Cricetulus griseus: one gene and its partner. The protein of the gene in region 1 interacts with the protein of each later gene in a pairwise test. Links are inferred from orthologs where the notes say so. Each region holds a gene or a part of one and is shown on either strand. Other genes may lie near its edges.

Region 1 (10,863 bases):
AAAGACCTCAACTACATGGTCTGCATGTCCCAGTATGATTCCACCCATGGCAAGTTCCCTGGAAAAGTCACGGCTGAGATCAGGAAATTGGCCATCAATGGGAAGACAATCTCCATCTTTCAGTAGCAGGATCCTGCCAACATCAAATGGGGTGACGCTGGTACCAAACACCAGTGGAATCAACTGGTGTCTTCACCACCATGGAGAAAGCTGGGGCCCACTTGGAGAGTGGAGGCAAAAGTCATATCTCTGCCTCTTCTACTGTTACCCCCATGTTTGTGATGAGAATGAACCACGAGAAATATGAAACCCACTCAAGATTGTCAGCAATGCTTCCTGCACCATCAACTGCTTAGCCCTCCTTGCCAAGGTCATCCATGACAACTTTGGCATCAGTGACCACCGCACATGACATTACCACCCTCCAAAAAACAAACAAGCATGGATAGCCCCTCTGGGAAAGTGTGGTGTGATGGTTGTGGGACTGCCTAGAACATCAACCCTGCATCCACTGGCACTGCCAAGGCTGTGGACAAGGTCATGCCAAGAGCTGAGCAGGAAGCTCACTGGTAATGTGTCTGTTGTAAGTCTAAGCTGCCAGGTACAAAGACATGCAGAAGATGGTGAAGGGGCTGGAGAGATGGCTCAGTAGTTATGAGCACTTGCTACTCTCACAGAGGATCTGAATTAAATTCCCAGAACCCACAAAATGACTCACAACTGTCTGTAACTCCAGTCCCAGGGAATCTGGCATCCTTTTCTGATCTTTTCAGTCATCAGGCACACACATGGTACACTGACATAAATGCAGGCTAAACATACATACACAGGAAATAAATTTAAAATTGTTTTTAAAAGGCAATGAAGCCGAGCGTTGGTGGTACACGCCTTTAATCCCAGCACTCAGGAGGCAGGGTCAGGAGGATCTCTGTGAGTTTGAGGCCAGCCTGGTCTCCAGAGCGAGTACGAGGATAGACTCCAAAGCTACACAGAGAAACCCTGTCTCGAAAAACCAAAATGAAGCAGGCAACCTAGGGCTGTACAGGGCATTTGGGGTATATGAGGAGGAACAGGCTGTTTCCTATGATTTTTAGCAACAACACCCATTCTTTCATCTTTGATGCCGGGGTAGGCATTGCTCTCAATAACAATTTTGTCAAGTCCATTTCCTGGCATGACAATGAATTCAGCTACAACTGCAGGGTAGTAGAGCTTATGGTTCACATGTTCTCCATGGAATAAGGAGTCCTGGACCACCCACCAGGAAGAAAATGAAAGGAAGCGAGGCCCTTGGCTGCTGAGGAGTCCCTCTCCCAACTCAGCCTCCAATATACTTAGCATCTCCTGTCATAGTTGTCATCCCAGGCCTCCAGAAGAAGGAGGGCTTAAGAAGCCCTATTCCCTTAAAGTTCACTGCACCAGAAAAAAGGTTTAGAATTATGTTTTTTCTTTTTGAAAACTTTCAAATATTCCTCCTCTGATTTTTACTAACTTTTTTTAAAAAAAAGTTTCTTAGGGGTTTTGTTTATTACTCTACTTTCTGGACAGTTTCCTAAATGACTCCTCCAGGAGTTAGCTGTCATCAATAAACTCCACTGATAACTTTGACCTCCAGTAACTGATCATGGGGCTGCTTCATTTCCAAGCTGTGGGTGACTAAGTAGCCATCTGGGAATCAAAGACTCTCCCTCTTACCCTTTCTCTCAACTCGTGACTCCATCCTATCTTAGTGAATCAGCACTGTCCTGGTGAATCCTACTTCGAATGCCAATGTTTTTCCAGAGTCCCCAAGACGCTTTCTTGTTCAATGGTTTATCAGAAGAATTCACCAAAGTGATTATACTAATGTTCACATAGTGTGATAAAGGTTGCAGGCAGAATAAAACTGACAATAGAAGAATGTACATTAGCAGGGTACAGGAAACAGTGGGTATGAGCTTCCAGTTGTTTATATGAAAATGGACTCAGGGAGCCAGTACTTAATCCTTCCAGAAGTATTCGAGACCACATTCACCAAGTACTGTTAATAAGAAAAATTCACTGGAGTTTTGGTGTCCAGAATTTTATTGGAGATAAGCCATACAAGTATAGTTGACTGCCCATGTTGGTGGACGTTAGTCCAAACCCTCTAGAGGCCAAGGTAATCCTAGTTTCTGGTCTAAGTCCTCAGCAAAAATTACATTGCTGGCATGGACTATTTGATATGGCCTGTGTAAACAGAGACACTTATACTGAATAGGATATTCCAAGGACTTAGAGAATAGCTCCTTAGAGAGCCCAGCAAGAGCCAGCCACTTTTGGGTTTATGAGTTGCTAGAAGAGTGTGTTGGATCCCTTGGAGCTGGAGTTGCACGCAGTTGTGAGCCACCTGGTGTGGGCGCTGGGAACTGAACCCTGGTCCTCTGGAAGAGCAGGAAGAGCTCTTAATCACTAAGAAGCTCTACTCCAGTCCCAAGCCAAATAGTTTTTATGAATAAACATGTCACAAATCCAGATTTGCTGAATCGTTTATTACAAGATTGGCTACCATATGCTGTTAATTCCCCACTGACGTCCCCTTTACCAACAGTGTGCCCACCCCCATTGTTTGCCATTCATAAATTATAGCTGTTTGATTTCTACAGACAAAAGCGCTCAGCAGATAGAAGTTGCTTTCATGCTGAAAGTTACAGTTCTCTAACTTCCCTTCTCTTTCCTCCATGAAAGAGCTATCATCAATGACTGATTGATAAGATGGGACCAACTCTATAGCACAATTCACTGTTCTCAGAGCTATCTGCAAGGTCAGGCTAGACTCCAGACAAGACAATATGCTAGGTTATCCCTTTCTTCTACCCTGTCCTTCTCCTTCCTCATCTCCTAATTATTTTCTTTCTGAGAACAACTCCAAGCCCTCAGTAGAATGTCTGCCTTAGGAGTTATAACCCAACAGTAGATCTGGCACTCAGGGATCAATTTATAAATTATTGTTGGACAAAAAATAAACTGAGAAAACTCCAAGTAGAACTAACTACCCTACAAATTATGCGGAGCACCTTGCACACACTAAATCTTAAGGAGTATTAGCCGCACACCCCATTCCCAACCCCTTGCATTGTGGCTACTTCCTCTCGGTAGAATTGTCGGGACATGACTCTCAATTCCATAGTTCAGCGATGCAATCTTGTGGCTGCACCAGAAATGAACAGACTCATGGAACTGGCAATTGAAAACCTAGATGCTAATTTTCTCATTTGCAAAAACAATTGAGACTTAGACAAAAAAAAAAAAAAAAAAAAAAAAAACAGGATCATCTTCTGTTTCCTATGTCCCCATAGACAAACTTATCTGAAACAAAGTTCCCAGTCAAACAAAAGCCAGTGGAAAGGCAATAGGTAAATAATATTAAGGATAAATGACACTGGCTCTATGGTTTCAAGTCCAACAGCACCAAACATGCCAAGGCCTGGGTCTTTGGGGACGGCTTCCTGGGAGACAGCTGAATGCCCTTCCTATCATTCTCACTCAATCTCTCCTTTTTCTGGGGCTATATTGTCATTGTCTATATTGTCACTGTCTCCCCTACCACACTCCCTTCAGTTTTCCTTCAAAGTATGAGTAACAGTTAAATTTCTAAGTCACTTCTACTCATCTTTTATCACCAAACTGTCCATGTACTTAATAGCTCTGCAACCACTCCCATTTCATAGATTCATTCAGTGGGAACACATTTATTCTCATTGAATAATAGTAACCAGCAATTGTGACCATAAATTTATTCCATGTTCATTCCTTAATTTCATTCTTAAACTGCAGCCCTAACTTCCTATTTGGAGTTTTTTGTGAGGCACAGTACTGCACGCCTGCAATCCTAGCACTCAGGATGTAGAGGCAGAGACTCACTGAGAGTTAGAGAGCACCTTGCATTACACGGCAATTTCAAGGCCAGCCTGGAAGGCATGAACAAACCCTAACTCAGAATAACTTGAGGTCACAATGTTGTAAGCCTCTTAGGTTCATAACCTCTATCTTTTTTTTTTTTCAAGTTTCTCTGAGCAGCATCTCACTATATAGTCCAGGCTGGCCTTAAACTCTCAATCTTCTTGCCTCCGCCTTCTGAGTGCTGAAATTAAGGCATAAGATACCATATCCAGCTCTCTGTCCCATTTCTGAAGTTATAACATCTCCCCAAACTGCAGTGCTTAAGACATCCAATGGCATCCTCCTGCCACCCATAGCCTAGCTTACCCATTGGAAAAGCCTATTCTGCACCCCAGAGTTGGAGACCTAACTCCCCCACTACCCCCCCCAGGGCCTTACCCCACATTCAGGGAAGAGAAATGGGTACAGAAAAAATTAAATGGCTGAATGGCATCCCAGACACCCAGCCTGAGAACTTCCAGGAGGAAGCAGCCTCTCCTCCCTTGGCAGGAGTCCAAATAGTCATGCTGCTAGCATGCTTTCCTGACAAAGCCTGAAGCCATGGGAAGTCCCCCGGGGCAGAGAATTACTTGCCATGGCAATAACTAAGGGTGAGTACTAGCTAAGCGCTACCTAGGCTACCAGTGTTTATGAGGCAAGACAAACTGTTATCCTGTCCTTAACTCAAGGCACTGCCTGGGAATAAGTCACAATGCCCCAGGTGTCCAAATCCAGAATGGTCGGCCCAAGTGGGAGGAGGTGAGGAGGGTTTGGTGAAGATAGAGTGAGAGTTGGGGGTGGGGGCATCCACAAAGGGCCCAGTTCCCTATTCTCTGAGCTCACCCTTGAGTGTAAACCAGGGTCCTCCTTCCCCCTGATTCTTAATCTCCTAGCACTAGCTCCTCCTAATACCTCCAGCCCCAGTTCTGCTCGTCCATCCCCAAAGCCTTTATAGATTCCATATTATCCCTCCCAGCAGTCTGGATACTGGAGAGTGGTTGAGTAGGTCAGTGAGCCATGTGTGTCCCCTGGGACTTCAGCCAGGCCCAGCTCCTGGACAGTATCCTAGGGCTGGGGGCACTAGGAGTGACAATTGGAACAGTCTTCTCGAAAGCTGGCCTAGCCCTGCTGCTCCTGCTGCTGGCCAGCTTCCTTGCTTTTGACCTGCTCCATGGGTAAGTGGCAGCAGCCTGCCAGGTGGGTGTCACAAGCACAGAGTCAGATGAGCAATTGCCTTGAGCTGGCATCTTCTCTCTCCACAGGTCCACAGGTCCCATCCTGCCAAGACACAGACTTCTCCCGATGGGTCAGAGCCAGGGGGCTGGTGAAGGTCCGGGACAGCAGGCAGCTCCCCTCTTTCCAACAGGGATAGTCTCAGGACTACTCAGCCTCCAGGATGCCCTGTTCCTGCTGTTCCTGGGCCTGGGCCTATTCTTGGGAGGCTCTGGTATACCCTTAGCCCTGCTGGGCCTTGCTTTCTGCCTCCATCCTTGGGACCGAGGGCCCTCAGAAAACTGAATGCCTTCTAAAAATACATCGCCCATTCTGCTTCCCCGGCTCTCCTCTCTTCTATCCTGAGTTACAGAGGTTGTGGTGTAAGGGTAGAATACACTATTGTGTCAGCTTGAACCTCAGAGGCCTCTAGTTCCATAATATGGACATTTGAGAACTGGGTCTGAGGCTTAGGGTGATAAGAGAAGGCAGAGAAAAGGGTGGACACAACAACCAACTCCAGTCCTGCAGTTGGAGGTAGCCATCAAGAAGGGACGGGAGTGGGGAAGGGTTCCTACAAGCAAGAAGAATGGTATCTGGGAGGCTTGCTGAGCTCTCCTGCCAGCCTGGAAGGTCCGTAGTGAGGGACTCAAGTGAGTCTCACACTATGCTGCAGTAGCTCTTCTCTCAGCTGGGCCCCGCCCCAGCCCAGGTCACAATGGACTCCTCTGAGGATGGTGGAGTGAGTGAGGGTGAGCCTGGGACCTGGCTGCCAGGCCAGCCTGGGCACAACAGGAAACATCATGACTTAGGTGGCTCTGACCAAAGGTAAGTCCTAGGCCCCAGTTCAAAGCCCAATCCTGCCCGTGCTGGTATCCTCCTGACCCCTGCAACCCCACCTATCCAGAGATCCTGGGCATCTCCAGGGCTGCTCCTGCAGCTGGCCTGGCCCTGTCCACAGGTGCACCAGCCGTGATGCAGCAGCCACGAGTGGAGACGGATATCATCGGGGCTGGCGAGGGGCCCCAGCGGGCAGTGCCCTGGTCAGCCTGGGTCACCCGTCAGGACTGGGTGCGATGGTGGGCATGCCACATGCCCCGGAGCTGGTCCCAGTGGTGGAATACATCAGGCTGGCGGCAACCTCTACAGCGTATGCTATGGGGTCTGGAGGGGACACTCTACCTGCTGCTCGCACTGATGCTATGCCATGCACTCTTCACCACTGGCTCCCACCTGCTGAGCTCCCTGTGGCCTGTGGTGGCTGTGGTATGGAGCCACCTGCTGCCAGCTATCCTGCTGCTGGTACTCAGTGCCATGCCTGCTCTGCTCTTCGCTGCCTCCTTCCTGCTGCTCTTCTCCACACTGCTGAGCCTCGTGGGCCTCCTTACCTCCATGACTCACCCAGGCTATGCCCAGGACTTGGACTAATAGAAGGGCAACCCCATCTTATTGCCTGTGTCTGTTGAGCCCTGGCCAAGGTCTGAGCCCTGTGGGGAACGTCAACAGACCTCAGACCCCCAATCACAAGCACAGGTGGAGGTCTGGCTTCTGGGAATCTACCTTAAACCCATGTTGGTGTCGGGGACAGGACAAATGGTTCAGCCAGGGCCAAGATCTTGGTCAAACCACTGAGAACACCTGTACAGATGTGGTAGCAACACTTGGTCTCCCAGGCAGCATCTTTTTATCATACCTCCCAGCCCTCCCTGCTTCAGGCTTCCTGAGAGTTTACACCTATATATCCCTGGTCTCATCACTCTGTGTGGATTTGTCATGGATCCTCTGCTTCCAGAAGGAGCATAGACTCTGGGAAAGAACCTTACTGAAAGATAGACAGGGGTGGTCCTGGTCCAAAACCCTGGTGACCTCACCTCAATCACCTCCCAGAAACAGGAAATAGACCAATCATCATAGTGAGGTGTGTGTGTGTGTGTGTGTGTGTGTGTGTGTGTGTGTGTGTGTGTGTGTGTGTGTACACATGCTAGAGAATGAATCAAGGCTTTGTACGTAAGCATACACTCCACCCTACATACATACAGAGCCTCCAGATCTGTTAGGAAAGAACAAGTCCCATTTCAGACACCTACACTTTGGCCAATTCATTATTTTTGAATCTCATTGTTAAGTGGGTCCCATTCTTTTCATGGGACTGTTATGATCCAAAGTCAGTATCTATTTGCAAAATACTTTGGGTTTTTGTTGTTGTTTTTGTTTTCATTTTGAAACAGGGTCTCATGAAGTCCAGGATGGCTTTGAACTCACTATTTAACTGAGGATGACTCTGAACTTCTGATCTATTGCCTCTACCTCCAGAGTACTGGGATTAAAACTTGTGCCACAATGCTTGGTTTTATGAAAAGTACTTTGTAAGGCCAAAAAGCAGTTAAGATGTTTTGGCTCCAAGAACATTCTACAAGCGCAAAAAGCCTTTCAATCCAGAAGTTAAGATGATGAAGCAAGTTTCTTTAGAATTCCAGAGAAATTCTGTCGTGGATAGAATCTCAGCCCTAAAATAGTTAACACAGAATAGATGGTGTGGATGAAATGTAAAAGGTTGTGTCATACAACCTCAAACTAGGCAGATATTGAACTATACTGGTTGTGCAATGCTTGAGGTTGTAGCCAGGAAATGCTTGCAAAGCTGTGTGAGTAGGGAAGTAATAGCTCAGGGATTTCCAAAATTGATCAAGCAAGTTGTTTACATCCCAGAAGGTTTTGGATCATCCATAAGTCCTCAGAGTCTGGCCATTTACCTATCTGCTGACCCCTCCAACCAAAATGTTGAGTATCAGTTACCAAATAAAGTGACAGACATGTTAGATAATTTGCCAGGGCCCAGCTAACAGTCTTTATCCACACCCACCCCTTCCCATTTCCTCCTGCTTCCCAATTCCTTATCTGTTTTTTAATTTTTATTTTTAATTTCTCATATTTACATATCCATCCCCCCATTCCCTCACCCTCCCATGTTCTTCACCCAACCCACCCCAACCTACTCCCCGACTCCTCTCCAGGGATAGTGAGGCCCTCTACCAAGGACCTTCAAAGTCTGTCATATTGTTTGGGGGAAAGTCTAGACCCTCGTTGCTGTATCTGGGCTGCAATAGTATCCCTCCATAGGGAGTGGGCTCCCAAAGACCATTTGTGCTCTAGGGATAAAGACTGGCTATGCTGTCAGAGGAGCCATAGACTGTCTTGGGCTCCTAGCTGGTAGCCACATTCAGAGAGTTTGGTTTGGTCCAATGCTATTTCCCCAGATTTATGACTAGGATCTCCATTCTATCAGTAGGTCAGGTCCACTGTTTCTGCAGGTCTCTCCATCCCCGTCTTGGCTCCTTTGCTCAACCCTCCTCCCTCTCCACAACTGAATTCCAGTAGTATGGTTCAGTGCTTAGCTATGGGTGTCTGTTTCTGCTTAGAACAGCAACTGGATGAAGACTCTCCTTCCTTTTCCTGCCCTGGGCTCCAATTTTGTCAGGGGTTCTTGTCCCCATCCCCTTCTTCGAGGGACTATGCAATCTTCTCTTGGGTTCCTCCTTGTTTCCTAGCTCCTCTGGCAGTGTGGAATTTAGGCTAGTGATCCTTTGCTCTATGTCTAAAAATCAAAAATGAGTGAGTATATACCATGTTTATCTTTTTGTGATTGGGTTACCTAACTGAGTATGGTTTCTTCTAGTTCCATCAATTTGCCTGCAAATTTCAGGATTTCATTGTTTTTTTTTTCCACTGAGTAGTACTCCATTGTATAAATATACCACATTTTTTTCTATCCATTCTTCAGTTGAGGGGCATCTAGGTTCTTTCCGGGTTCTGGCTATTACAAATAATGCTGCTATGAACATAGTTGAACATATGTCCTTATTGTATGAGTGTGCATTCTTTGGGTATATGCCCAAGAGAGAGATTGCTGGATCTTGAGGTAGACTGATTTCCATTTTCCTGAGAAACTGCCATATTGCTTTCCAAAGTGGCTGTACAAGTTTACTTCCACCAGCAATGGAAGAGAGTTCCTCTTTCTCCATATCCTCTCCAGCATAGATTGTCATTTGTTATTGATTTTAGCCATTCTGACAGGAGTAAGATGGTATCTCAGAGTGGTTTTGAGTTGCATTTCCCTGATGGCTAAGGATGTTGAGCACTTTCTCAAGTGTCTTTCAACCATTTTGGATTCCTCTGTTGAGAATTCTCTATTAAGTTCTGCACTCCATCTTTTAGTTGTGTTGTTTGGTGTTTTGGTGGGCAGCTTCTTGAATTCATGTATATTTTTGTGATCAGCCCTCTGTCAGATGTGGGGTTGGTGAATATCTTTTCCCATTTTGTGGGCTGGCGTTTTGACTTGCTGACTGTCTCCTTGGCTTTACAGAAGCTTCTCAGTTTCAGGAGGTCCCATTTATTAATTGTCCATCTCAATGTCTGTGCTACTGGTGTAATGTTCAGAAAGCAGTCTCCTGCACCAATTTGTTCAAGGGTGCCACCTACCTTCTCTTCAAGGAGGTTCAGTGTGGCTGAATTTATGTTGAGGTCTTTGATCCATTTGGATTTAAGTTTAGTGCATGACGATAGATATGGATCCATCTGTAATCTTCTACATGTCTGAATCCAGTTATGCCAGCACCATTTGTTGAAGATGCTTTCTTTCTTCCATTGTATAAATTTAGCTTCTTTGTCAAAAATCAGGTGTTCATAGGTGTGTGGGTTAATATCAGGGTTTTCAATTCGATTCCATTGGTCAACCTGTCTATTTTTGTGTCAATACCAAGCTGTTTTCAGGATTATGACTGTATAATAGAGCTTGAAGTCAGGGATGGTGATGCCTCCGGAAATTTCTTTATTGTACAGGGTTGTTTTGGCTATCCTGTTTTTTTTTTCATATGAAGTTGAGTTTTGTTCTTTCAAGGTCTGTGAAGAATTGTGTTGGGATTTTGACGGGAATTGCATTGAATCTGTAGATTGCTTTTGGCAGGATTGCCATTTTTACTATGTTGATCCTACCCATCCAAGAGCATGAGAGATCTTTCCATTTTCTGGTATATTCTTTAATTTCTTTCTTTAAATACTCAAACTTCTTACTATACAGGTCTTTCTCGTTTTTGGTTAGTGTTACCCCAAGACGTTTTATGTTGTTAGTTGCTATGTGAAAGGTGATGTTTCTCTGGTTTCTTTCTCAGCACATTCATCTTCTGTATATAGTAAGGCTACTGATTTTTTTTGAGTTAATCTTGTATCCTGCCACTTTGGTGAAGGTGTTTATCAGATGTAGGAGTTCCCTGGTAGAGTTTTCCGGTTCACTTATGTAAACTATCATATCATCTGCAAATAGTGAAAGTTTGACTTCTTCCTTTCCAATTTGTATCCCCTTGATCTCCTTTTGTTGTCTTATTGCTCTAGCTAGGACTTCAAGTACAATATTGAAGAGATATGAAGAGAGTCGACAGCCTTGTTTTGTTCCTGATTTTAGAGGAATAGCCTTGAGTTTCTCTCTGTTTAGTTTGATGTTGGCTGTTGGTTTGCTGTATATTGCTTTTATCATGTTTAGATATGTTCCTGTTATTCCTGATCTCTCCAAGACCTTTATCATGAAGGGATGTTGGATTTTGTCAAAGGTTTTTTCAGCATCTAGTGAGATGATCATGTGGTTTTTCTTTTCCTTTTTTGTTTATATGGTGGATTACATTGATGTATTTTAGTATGTTGTACCATCCCTGCATTCCTGGGATAAAGCTACCTTGATCATGGTCGATGATTTCTCTG
Region 2 (9,153 bases), on another chromosome or scaffold:
CCCTTGGAAAGGGAGTTACAGGTGGTCATGAGCCACCATGTGGGTGCTGGGGATTGAACCTGGAACCTCTGGAAGAGCAGTCAATGCTCCTAACCTCTGAGCCATCTCTCCAGCCCTGGTTTTTCTTAAGATGCAAGGCCTCTGGACTTTCATTCTTTACAGTGCTTAGATGTTGATTCAAATTAAAAAACAAAGTCACATTGTGGCAACATATTTTGTGACTCCTAATTGGGTTTGAGTGACATGAGAGGAATTCAGAAAGGTGTCTGGACAGGGGATAGGGCAGGGCCACCCTGGGTTCTCACCACTCCTCCGTCCTTTCCTCTTTTCAGGAGCTCTCTCATCCTCTCCTCTGTCTTCTCGGCAGCCATCCTCACAGCTTGCCTCTTGCTGGGTCACCTCTGACTCGGCTGGTGGCTTTGCTTCTTGGGGTAATTCCCTGCTTGGAGGGGCTGGCTCCCCACCCTCCTGTGGTTCTGCCTTCTCAGTGCCTGAGCTCTCCTTTCCATTCTCTTGTTCATCTTCTTCCTCCTCCCCTTCCTCCCCATCCTCTAGGCTGACAAAACTGACGTAAGGACTCAGGTCTCTAAGGTGGAGTGGAGGCTCATCTCCCAAGAGCCGGGAAGCCCCCAGGCCTGGCCCAGGACCTGGCTCAGCACCTTGCCCCAGGCTGATGCCCACACTACGGTTTGGTAAGACGTGGAGCACCCAGAGGGCAGGGTCTTGGGGCAGCCTCCTTATCTGAGCCTCCAGTTGACGCCATCGGCCCTCAAGGTTGGTTCCCATGGTCCCCTTTTCTGTCACGAACTTGCGGAACCAGCCAAAGAGAAGGGCAGCGAAATCAAGGAACTCGTCCCGGTATCCAGACACAAACTCCATGTCTTCAGATGCACAGGGAGGGCCTGGACCCAGACTGAGCAGAAAGGGATGTATGTATGGTAACGGTCAGGTTTGGGCCGAGTCACAAAAGGGAGAAGGGGGGTGGGCTTCAGGTCAATCTATAGAGGAATCTCAGGAGCTCAGAACAGGATTTGCAGGGATAACGATGGAGGGAGGCTAGATTGGAAAGCGGATATTTAAAGGTGAGTGACGAAATCATAGCTGAGATACAAAACTCAGATCCTAAAGTGGGATTTGAATTAAGGGAAGACACAGGGTAAAGTTAATCCTATGGGGAAAGGTTTGCTAAGAAGGGAAAGTTTTGGGGGTCTGTTGGTCTGTGGGAATAGAAGTTAGAGTTAAGAACTGAGGCATCTCTTGATTGAGGATCAGTTTGGTGTGAGCCCCAATAAGCCCACCCTCTTTCTGGCCGCTCCTCTCCTCCGGTACCTGCAGCCGCCACCACTTTTCGAAGGTAAATACCTCGTGCAGGAGGACCGTCGTGACGTCAGGGCTGCCCGAGGCTCATAACTTGGGTGGCACGCCCGCTTAGGGCATCTGGCTGCACCCGGCCAGTGCTTTCACCTTGGCCATGTGACTGGATCCACAGTAACCCCTCGGACCAGGGAAGTGAAAGCATCTTGGAGCAGGAGGGAGGATCCAGCAAGTCATCTACTTTACAAACCAACAGACAGACAGGCGACCACCGGAGTGTTGACATCCCCAACTCAACCGAGTCATTCTTCCGGGGGTACTGCTTGCCCTCTCGGATTCCTCGGGCTCCACAGCCCGAGCTTCCTTTCGGTTTTGTCTTGGCTGCCCTCCCACCCCCACTCCCAGCCTGGACGTGAGTCTGGAGTCGGGTGAAGGAGCTCCTCCTTCAGGGGGTTCCCCTACGTGGGAGCTGGGCGCAGCGCAGGCTCCCGGCTACTGACCAGGCAGGCGGGCGGGCGGGCGGGCGGTTCAGGGCAGCGCGCGGGGACCGAGGGGAGGGACGGCACCGCTACCTCGCGCCCTGTCCCGCCTGAGCTTGGCACCGACCGCAGTGCCTCTGCAGAACCTTTGGCAGTCGGGGTGAAGAATCGAAAGCAAGCGGATCAGCTGGATGTCGGCTAAGTGGCTTGGCAACCACAAGCTCCGCAGAGTCCGGAGATGAGGCAGAGCTTCGGACTCCTGCCCCGAGTGCTCTTTCTCTTCTTGCTGGCTCTGCTGACCCAGCCAGGTTAGTCGTGGGGAGGGGCTGGGACCAGAATGGAAACTGGAGGGGCACAAGAACTCAGATTAAGAACTCAGCCCAGAGCTGCCAAAGGCAGCAGCCAGGACTAGGGGAAGGCTGTCAGGGGTTGGACTGGGGACCTCTGGGCCCAGGTGGCTTTACACTGGGGTGGGAAGTAGGTCTGGCGGGTAGGGAAGGCTGAGTCAGACAGCTGGGTTGGAAGCCAAGGAGTCCGAGCACCAGGGCTGATCCCTCTTTCCGCTTTAGGTGATGGCAACCAGGGCAGTGCCACTGGGAGCTGTTCCTGTGGTAAGACAATTGCTCCTGGCACCCTGGTACCGCCTGCTACCTTGACTCATATCCGAAAACACCTGAAAGCATACGATCGCTGTCCGTTCCTCATCAGGTACTGTCTCATCCGTTCGTCCATCCGTCCGTCTGACCCCCACCCTCCGGCCCCCGGGAGTTACAGGACCATCACAACCTGAACACCCAGTCCGGATGGGGGAGCCTAGCTCCTTACTAGTTTCACTTATCTGGGGATTTCCAGTCCTAATAGTGCCTACTTACCTTGGGTGACTTCACACCTTTGGAATGAGGAAAAGTAGGGAGGGGAAGGAGTGATCATAGGAGACTAGATTGATCCTCTTACAGGTTCCACTTAAAGTCCACGAGTGTGTGTGGGAGAAAGCAAGACCAGTGGGTCCGTGAAGTGATAAGCTGCTTTGAGAACAAAGGTGAGAGCCTCTTCTGTCCTCCAGTGGGCCACGTCTTATAATCTCCTTTGCCTCTGCCACACCACACAGCACTTTCCTATTTAGAAGCTTCTAACTGGCTTGAAATACTTTCACTAAAGTTTGTGTCTTCTCAATGTCCCTGTCATCTTCCTGGTTTCAGCCAATTTGTTCTACCACACATGCCATTACTTAATATTTTCTTTTTTATTTCATGTGCATTCATATTTTGTGTACATGTATGTCTGTGTGGAGGTGTTGAATCCCCTTTAACTGGAGTTAACGCAGTTGTGAGCTGCCATGTGGGTGCTGGGAATTGGATCCAGGTTCTCTGGAAGAACAGCCAGTACTCTTAAGTATTGAGCCATCTCTCCAGCCCTACTTAATATTTTCTTGAAATTATAATATAAAGTGTACTTGAGATTGGTCATGTGTTCTAACATTTAACTGTCACCCTGCATTTTAGACAGTTTCAGACAGGGTTTGGCTAAGTTGGCCAGGATGGGCTTGAACTTGGTTTTTTTTTTTTTTTTTAATGTGTAAAAATTACCTTTATTGCTGGGATGGAGGATCTTAGCCTGAATAAGATTGACCCTCAGAATGCACAAGGTACTGGGTAGAATGGGCCTTACCTTGAAGGAAAATGTGAGTGCTCAGAAGCTGAGACAACCCCCAAGAGTGGCTTGAGGCAAGAATGCCTATTCTTTCCAAATTTAGGAATTAGTTAACTGACTTCCCATCTTGAGAATCAGTAGGAGGAAAGGGAAGAAGGGAAACTGAGTGGGGACCTTAGAGTAAAATCCTTAGTGGCAAAAGAAGTGGTCAGTTCTCTTTTCATATTTTTTTAAAAAAATAATGGACCATAGTATTTTTTAAGTCACATAAAGTGAATACCCAAGCAAAGGCTGCAATGGAATGTGGTTTCTTTTTTCTTTTCTTCCCCCCCCCCCAACAAGACAGGGCTTTGGACCCTGTCCTAGAACTAGCTCTTGTAGACCAGGCTGGTCTGGAACTCACAGAGATCTGCCTGCTTCTGCCTCCCAAGTGCTGGGGTTAAAGGCGTGCGCCACCATCTTCTGGCTAGGAGTGTGGTTTCTTGGGTATCAAACTACTACACAGCAGGGTTAGTGTGGTAGGGCTCAGTGAGACTGCTGCCCATAGAAGGCTCTGCTGGCTGCGTGGTCCTTGGGTGGCGTCTGGGAACAGAGTTGATGAAAGCTCCTCATTGTGTCTAAACTGTGTGCACAGTATTCACTTTACTTCTTGCAGTCTAGAGTTTCCATATGTGTTAAACAGAGAATGCTTGCATGACCGTTCCCAGGTGAAAACTCTGGGGAGTGAGGTTACTGAGCTTCCTTTAGTTCATCCCTGCTCACATTATACGCCCCAAGGTTCCCTACTGGGAGCACTTCAGGAGTGTCTGCCAGGTCTTCTCTGCCCTTTGTCCACAGGAGATTCCTCTGCTGACTTTGTTTTGTGTCATTTTTGTTGTGACAACTCTTAGTTGTGGCTGCTGAGGCCAAAGAATCTCCCTAAAGAATCACTGAGCTGACAGTAGTCTAGTGGACTCTGACACCGGGTAACTCTGTGGTAGCTGAGTGTGGGCAGCCCATAGCGCCTGCTTCATTTTCCTCCCATGTCCACCTCTGGACCCGATGCCATTCTTTCTTAGATGAAGGACACTGGTGTCTTCTGTAAGAGCTATTTCAAAGGTGGAGAGTTGAAAACAGAATGTAAGGCAGGCTCCCACTCATCTTAACTCAATTTCAGCTCAGCACCCTGAGTATTGGGAGAAGCACTCCATCGTGGACTCTGAACACCCTTGAGTTCTTTTTTTAACTTGTTCTTATTGAGCTATACATTTTCCCCCATCCCCCTTCCCTTATCCTCTCAACTCAGTCTTGAACTTATCATCCTCCTGCCTCAACCTCTCTAGTAGCTGGGATAACAGGTCTCTATGACAGGTTTGGCTTTCACTATTGTACTTTCATTGAAATCACTTGAAGGTACTATTTTCATTTTTTAATAATTAATGATGAAAATAAACATTACAGTTGAAAGAATTTACCCAGGTGTGGTGGTGAACACCTCTAACCCCAGCATTCTGGGAGGCAGAGGCAGGTGGAGCTCTGTGAATCTGAGGCCAACCTGGTCTACATAATGATTTTCAGGATAGTCAGGGCTACATATAGACAATAAAACAAAACAAAAAAGTTGAAAGAATTATACATTGAACAGCCTCTATGGACATCAACTACATTCTACAATATTTGATTTGCAGTTTCATATTTATTTATTTATATAATAAAGCAAATATGAAATCAGTAATATTTACAATATTGGTTCTACAGCATTTTACTACATTTGCATTATTGCAAACTGATTGTGTTATCTATCCATCATCAATCTTACTGCTCTTTTTAATTTTTTCTTTTTTGGCCTTGAAGTGATCCTCACAAGTGCTGGGATTACAGGCATGCACCACCACTCTCCATTTCAATTTACCTTTTTTAAAAACTTTTTTTCAACATAAATTGCAGATATTATTGTATTTAATCCCCAAACATTTCAGCATGTATTTTACTGAGTTCAATTTTTGTTTTGTTTGCTTAAGACAACGTTTCTCTATGTAGCCTTGGCTGTCCTGGAACTCGCTCTATAGACCAGGCTGGCCTTGAACTCATAGACTCATCTGCCTGCTTCTGCTTCCCTGAGCCACTGAGATTAAAGACCCAACTCTGGGTTCAATATTTTATTGTTCTTTTGTTCTTTCAAGATTAAAAAGAAAAAACTCAATTAAATGAATAGATCTTAAGTATGCATAAGCCAGTTTTCAAACAAATTACTTAATAGCTTGTATGTTTCTTGTATGGTAGCATACACCTTTAAGCCCAGATGGATCTCTGAGTTCGAGGCCAGCCTGATCTACAGAGCAAGTTCCAGGACAGCCAGGGATACACAGAGAAACCTTGTCTTCAATTAAAAACAAAAAAGATACAACTCTTAAAATATGAAATGTTCTTCAATAGTCTACCTGGTTATTAGTGGTACCCACACTGCCTTTCAAGCTATGGAGACCTACATTGTTTCCTTCAACTCTCCCAGATACCCTGGGCCTTGTTACCATGACAAGAGTCCCAGAACAGCTATAGATGATGGGTAAAGTACTCTAGGGTTCAATGCAATGTAGCACACCTGCCTTGCCCTGTGACTGCATCTTGTAGTTTGTGAACTTCCTTGTCCCTGTCTGTCCCTCTGCCACTGTCTTCCTCCCACGGCCTTCAGCTGCCCTGCTCCAAATCTCTTTTTGCACAGTATGGGGAATGAATCCAGGGCCTTGCCTCATACATGCTAGGCAAGAACGCTGCCACTGAGTCATATACACAGTTCTTCAGTTGTCCCCTGGATGCTCCCCATCCCCTCCCTCTGCTGGGCTCAGAACATGATACTCAAATAGGGGATTTTAGCAGCTGAGAGATCCAACAAAGCAAATCACTCTGACTTTCCTCCACCTTTCTCTGTGCCAGCTGGCCACAAAGGAACTAGAACTGAGGCATAATAAATACTTTCATGCTATAGGAGCCCTGGCCAGGACTCGGAGGCCCAAAAGAATCTGGCAAGGCCTTACTGGTCCCCTCCCTGTTGCCCTGGGGTGGGGGTGGGGACAGGAGATTTAATCCAGGGTCTTGTACATGCTACACCCCAGCCTACCCCTTGTTCATTACCACTAACCAGAACCCTTCCTGCCCAATCCTATTTCTACACGCTGTCCATTCCTTATCCAGTCTAAGCACAGTAGAATAGGTTCCTGCATCCCATCAACTTGTTCTGCTTTTCTCATTAATCTGAAGACAGGTGAGGAAGATATTCTCCAGCTGTTCCTGTAGCCCTGATCCTTTATTTGTTTTCTCTCCAGAGTGTGGACATGGCCACGGGAAGAGTCTCCCCCACCAGGAGCCTTTGCCTCACGCTAGCACCCAGATCCCCGTGACCACAGAGGGGACACCTCCAGACACAAGCACCCCTGCACAGATTCAGAGTACCCACCAGTCCACTTTTCCATCTGGTGCACTGTCCTTGAACAAAGAGCTCACCCCCCACAGTGAAACCACTGCTGTCACTTCAGGCTATGAAACCACTGCTGTCACTTCGGGCTATGAAACCACTGCTGTCACTTCAGGCTGCGATCCAGAAGCTAGACCTAAGGCTAAGGCAAATAAAAAACAGCAAGAGAACAAACAGCAAAAAGAAAAACCAGAATCTTCAGCTGGCACACCAGGCTTGGTACCAGTGCTGTCCCTCCTGGTCATTGTTTTCTTTCTCACAGCAGCCGTGGTCTATATGCTGTGCACCAGGAGGAGAGTGAGGCAGCAGCGTTCTGCAGGTAAATGAGACTCCGAAACCTCACCTCAGGGACCCAGAGCCAGACTGCTAACAGAGGCACACAAATAGTAAGGCTGTGAGGGACGAGTCAGCCAGCGTGTACTAGGTCTTAAGGTTAATTAATGTCTGGGAGTCTGATTCCCCAATTCAGTTCATGTCCTGCCTCAGTTCTCCTTCATCTCAGAGTTCATCTACAAATTTCTTTATCCTTTCCAGATCTGCAGCTCCGTTATGCACCTGTAAACCAAGACTCCAGAGCCTGAAACAAGAATGGAAGCTTGGGAGAAGGCTCAGGAGACGGCAGTAGACTGTGTTCTATCAACCAACTGTCCCTTCGTTCATTCTCCCTTAAACTGAGACAAAGCACTCATCTCATAATCCAGGACAGCTTTGAGTTACTCATTCTCATTCTCTAGGTTCTGGGATCACAGACATATGACGAATCTGCCCTAATTTACCTCTGTAAATAATGTATACATTTTTTAGAGTTTTGTTTAGCCTGCCTCAAATTCTTATGTATCTGAGGTTGACTACTGATCCTTCTGCCTCCACTTCCATAGTGCTGGAATTACACACTTGCTAAACAGCTTTTATTTTATTTTATTTTTTGAGACAGATTTCACTATTCAGTCCTGGCTTTACAGTGTTGGGATTAAAGGACTGTACCTGGCCCTTGAGAAACACTCTTTTGTTTTGGGGGTTTATTTGGTTTGGTTTTTTGAGATAGAGTTTCTCTTTGTAACAGCCTTGGCTGTCCTGAAATTCACTTTGTACACCAGGCTGACCTCAAACTCACAGAGATCCACCTGCCTCTGCCTCCTGAGTGCTGGAATTAAAGGTGTGTACTACTTTTAATGATTAATAATATATGAGTAGCCCCACTGCCCTTAGTCCTCTCCCCTGTGGCTAATAAAATGTAATACTCTAAATTATGTGGTCTAAAAGTACGGTCCCTTTGTAGAGTGCCTGCCTCACATGTGTAAAATTCTAGGTTCAGTCCTCTCACTATGGATACATTAATTTTTAAAAATGTCTGTTTTATACATTGTATAGCAATAAACTGGACAAATTCTATGTTTTTACCTATAATACTAAAAATTGCTTTTAGAGTTAGTGGCTGAGGGTTGGAGGGATGACCCAGCAGTTTAGAGCAATAGTTCTTTGCAGAGGACTCGTGTGCTGGACACCACCATATTGTAACTCCAGTACCTGGGGATCTGATAACCCTTCTCTGACCTCTACAGGCACCAGGTATGCACATATACATACAAAAGCAAACCATTACTCAGCCACATAAATCTAACTTTTTTTTTTTTTTTTAACAACTATTGACTTCTGCAGACACCGGCTTCAGTCTTTGTCCCCTTAGAAGTGCTGATGGCGTCCCCAGGCCACAAGTTCCCTTCCCACTACACCAGCTGTTCTCTAATCCCACACTGAAAGCTTAGGCTGTCTTCTCTCCCTTGTTAGCAGCTGCTGTGCTGATTGATTCACTGATTCTGTACAGGCCGGACTCACTTCCTCAATCTCCTGGATCACTCATATACACCCAGAGAAAGAGTATGATCTCCATTAAAAAAAAAAAAAAAAGTTACAGCTTTTATTATTAAAACACAGTTCCTATTTTTGTTTCTTCTGAAGAGGAACAACGCTTCTCTCTCCCTCTCTCTCTCTCTTTTTTTTTTTTTTTTTTTGGTTTTTTGAGACACGGTTTCTCTGTGTAGCCCTGGCTGTCATGGAACTCGCTCTGTAAACCAGGCTGGCCTCAAATGCACAGAGATCTGCCTGCCTCTGCTTCCTGAGTGCTGGGACAAAGCCACCGTCAGGCTCCACAACTCTTTTTGAGGAAGACTCCTGCTATGTACTTAGCCCCAGTTGGTCTCAAACTGTAGCAATGTTCCTACCTCCCCTTCCCAAATGTTGGGATTACAGATGTGAGCC

The links.
Region 2: the proteins of Tmem239 (region 1) and Cxcl16 interact in a two-hybrid assay, tested with the Homo sapiens proteins (2 studies listed by BioGRID). The two-hybrid records come from large-scale screens. The link is inferred for Cricetulus griseus from reciprocal best matches to the Homo sapiens genes TMEM239 and CXCL16.

The regions. Positions count from the first base shown.
Region 1 is NC_048599.1:48,201,397-48,212,259, reverse strand, and holds Tmem239 (transmembrane protein 239), read left to right. Parts: upstream 1-6,072; 5' UTR 6,073-6,087; coding exon 6,088-6,540; downstream 6,541-10,863. Other genes in the region: CUNH20orf141 (uncharacterized protein C20orf141 homolog), read left to right, coding at 4,918-5,075, 5,163-5,418.
Region 2 is NC_048600.1:84,256,587-84,265,739, reverse strand, and holds Cxcl16 (C-X-C motif chemokine 16), read left to right. Parts: upstream 1-1,583; 5' UTR 1,584-1,726; intron 1,727-1,831; exon of another isoform or gene 1,832-1,936; 5' UTR 1,937-2,031; coding exon 2,032-2,101; intron 2,102-2,362; coding exon 2,363-2,501; intron 2,502-2,749; coding exon 2,750-2,832; intron 2,833-6,745; coding exon 6,746-7,213; intron 7,214-7,428; coding exon 7,429-7,475; 3' UTR 7,476-8,286; downstream 8,287-9,153. Other genes in the region: Zmynd15 (zinc finger MYND domain-containing protein 15), read right to left, coding at 306-879. UniProt on the Homo sapiens protein: Acts as a scavenger receptor on macrophages, which specifically binds to OxLDL (oxidized low density lipoprotein), suggesting that it may be involved in pathophysiology such as atherogenesis. Induces a strong chemotactic response. Induces calcium mobilization.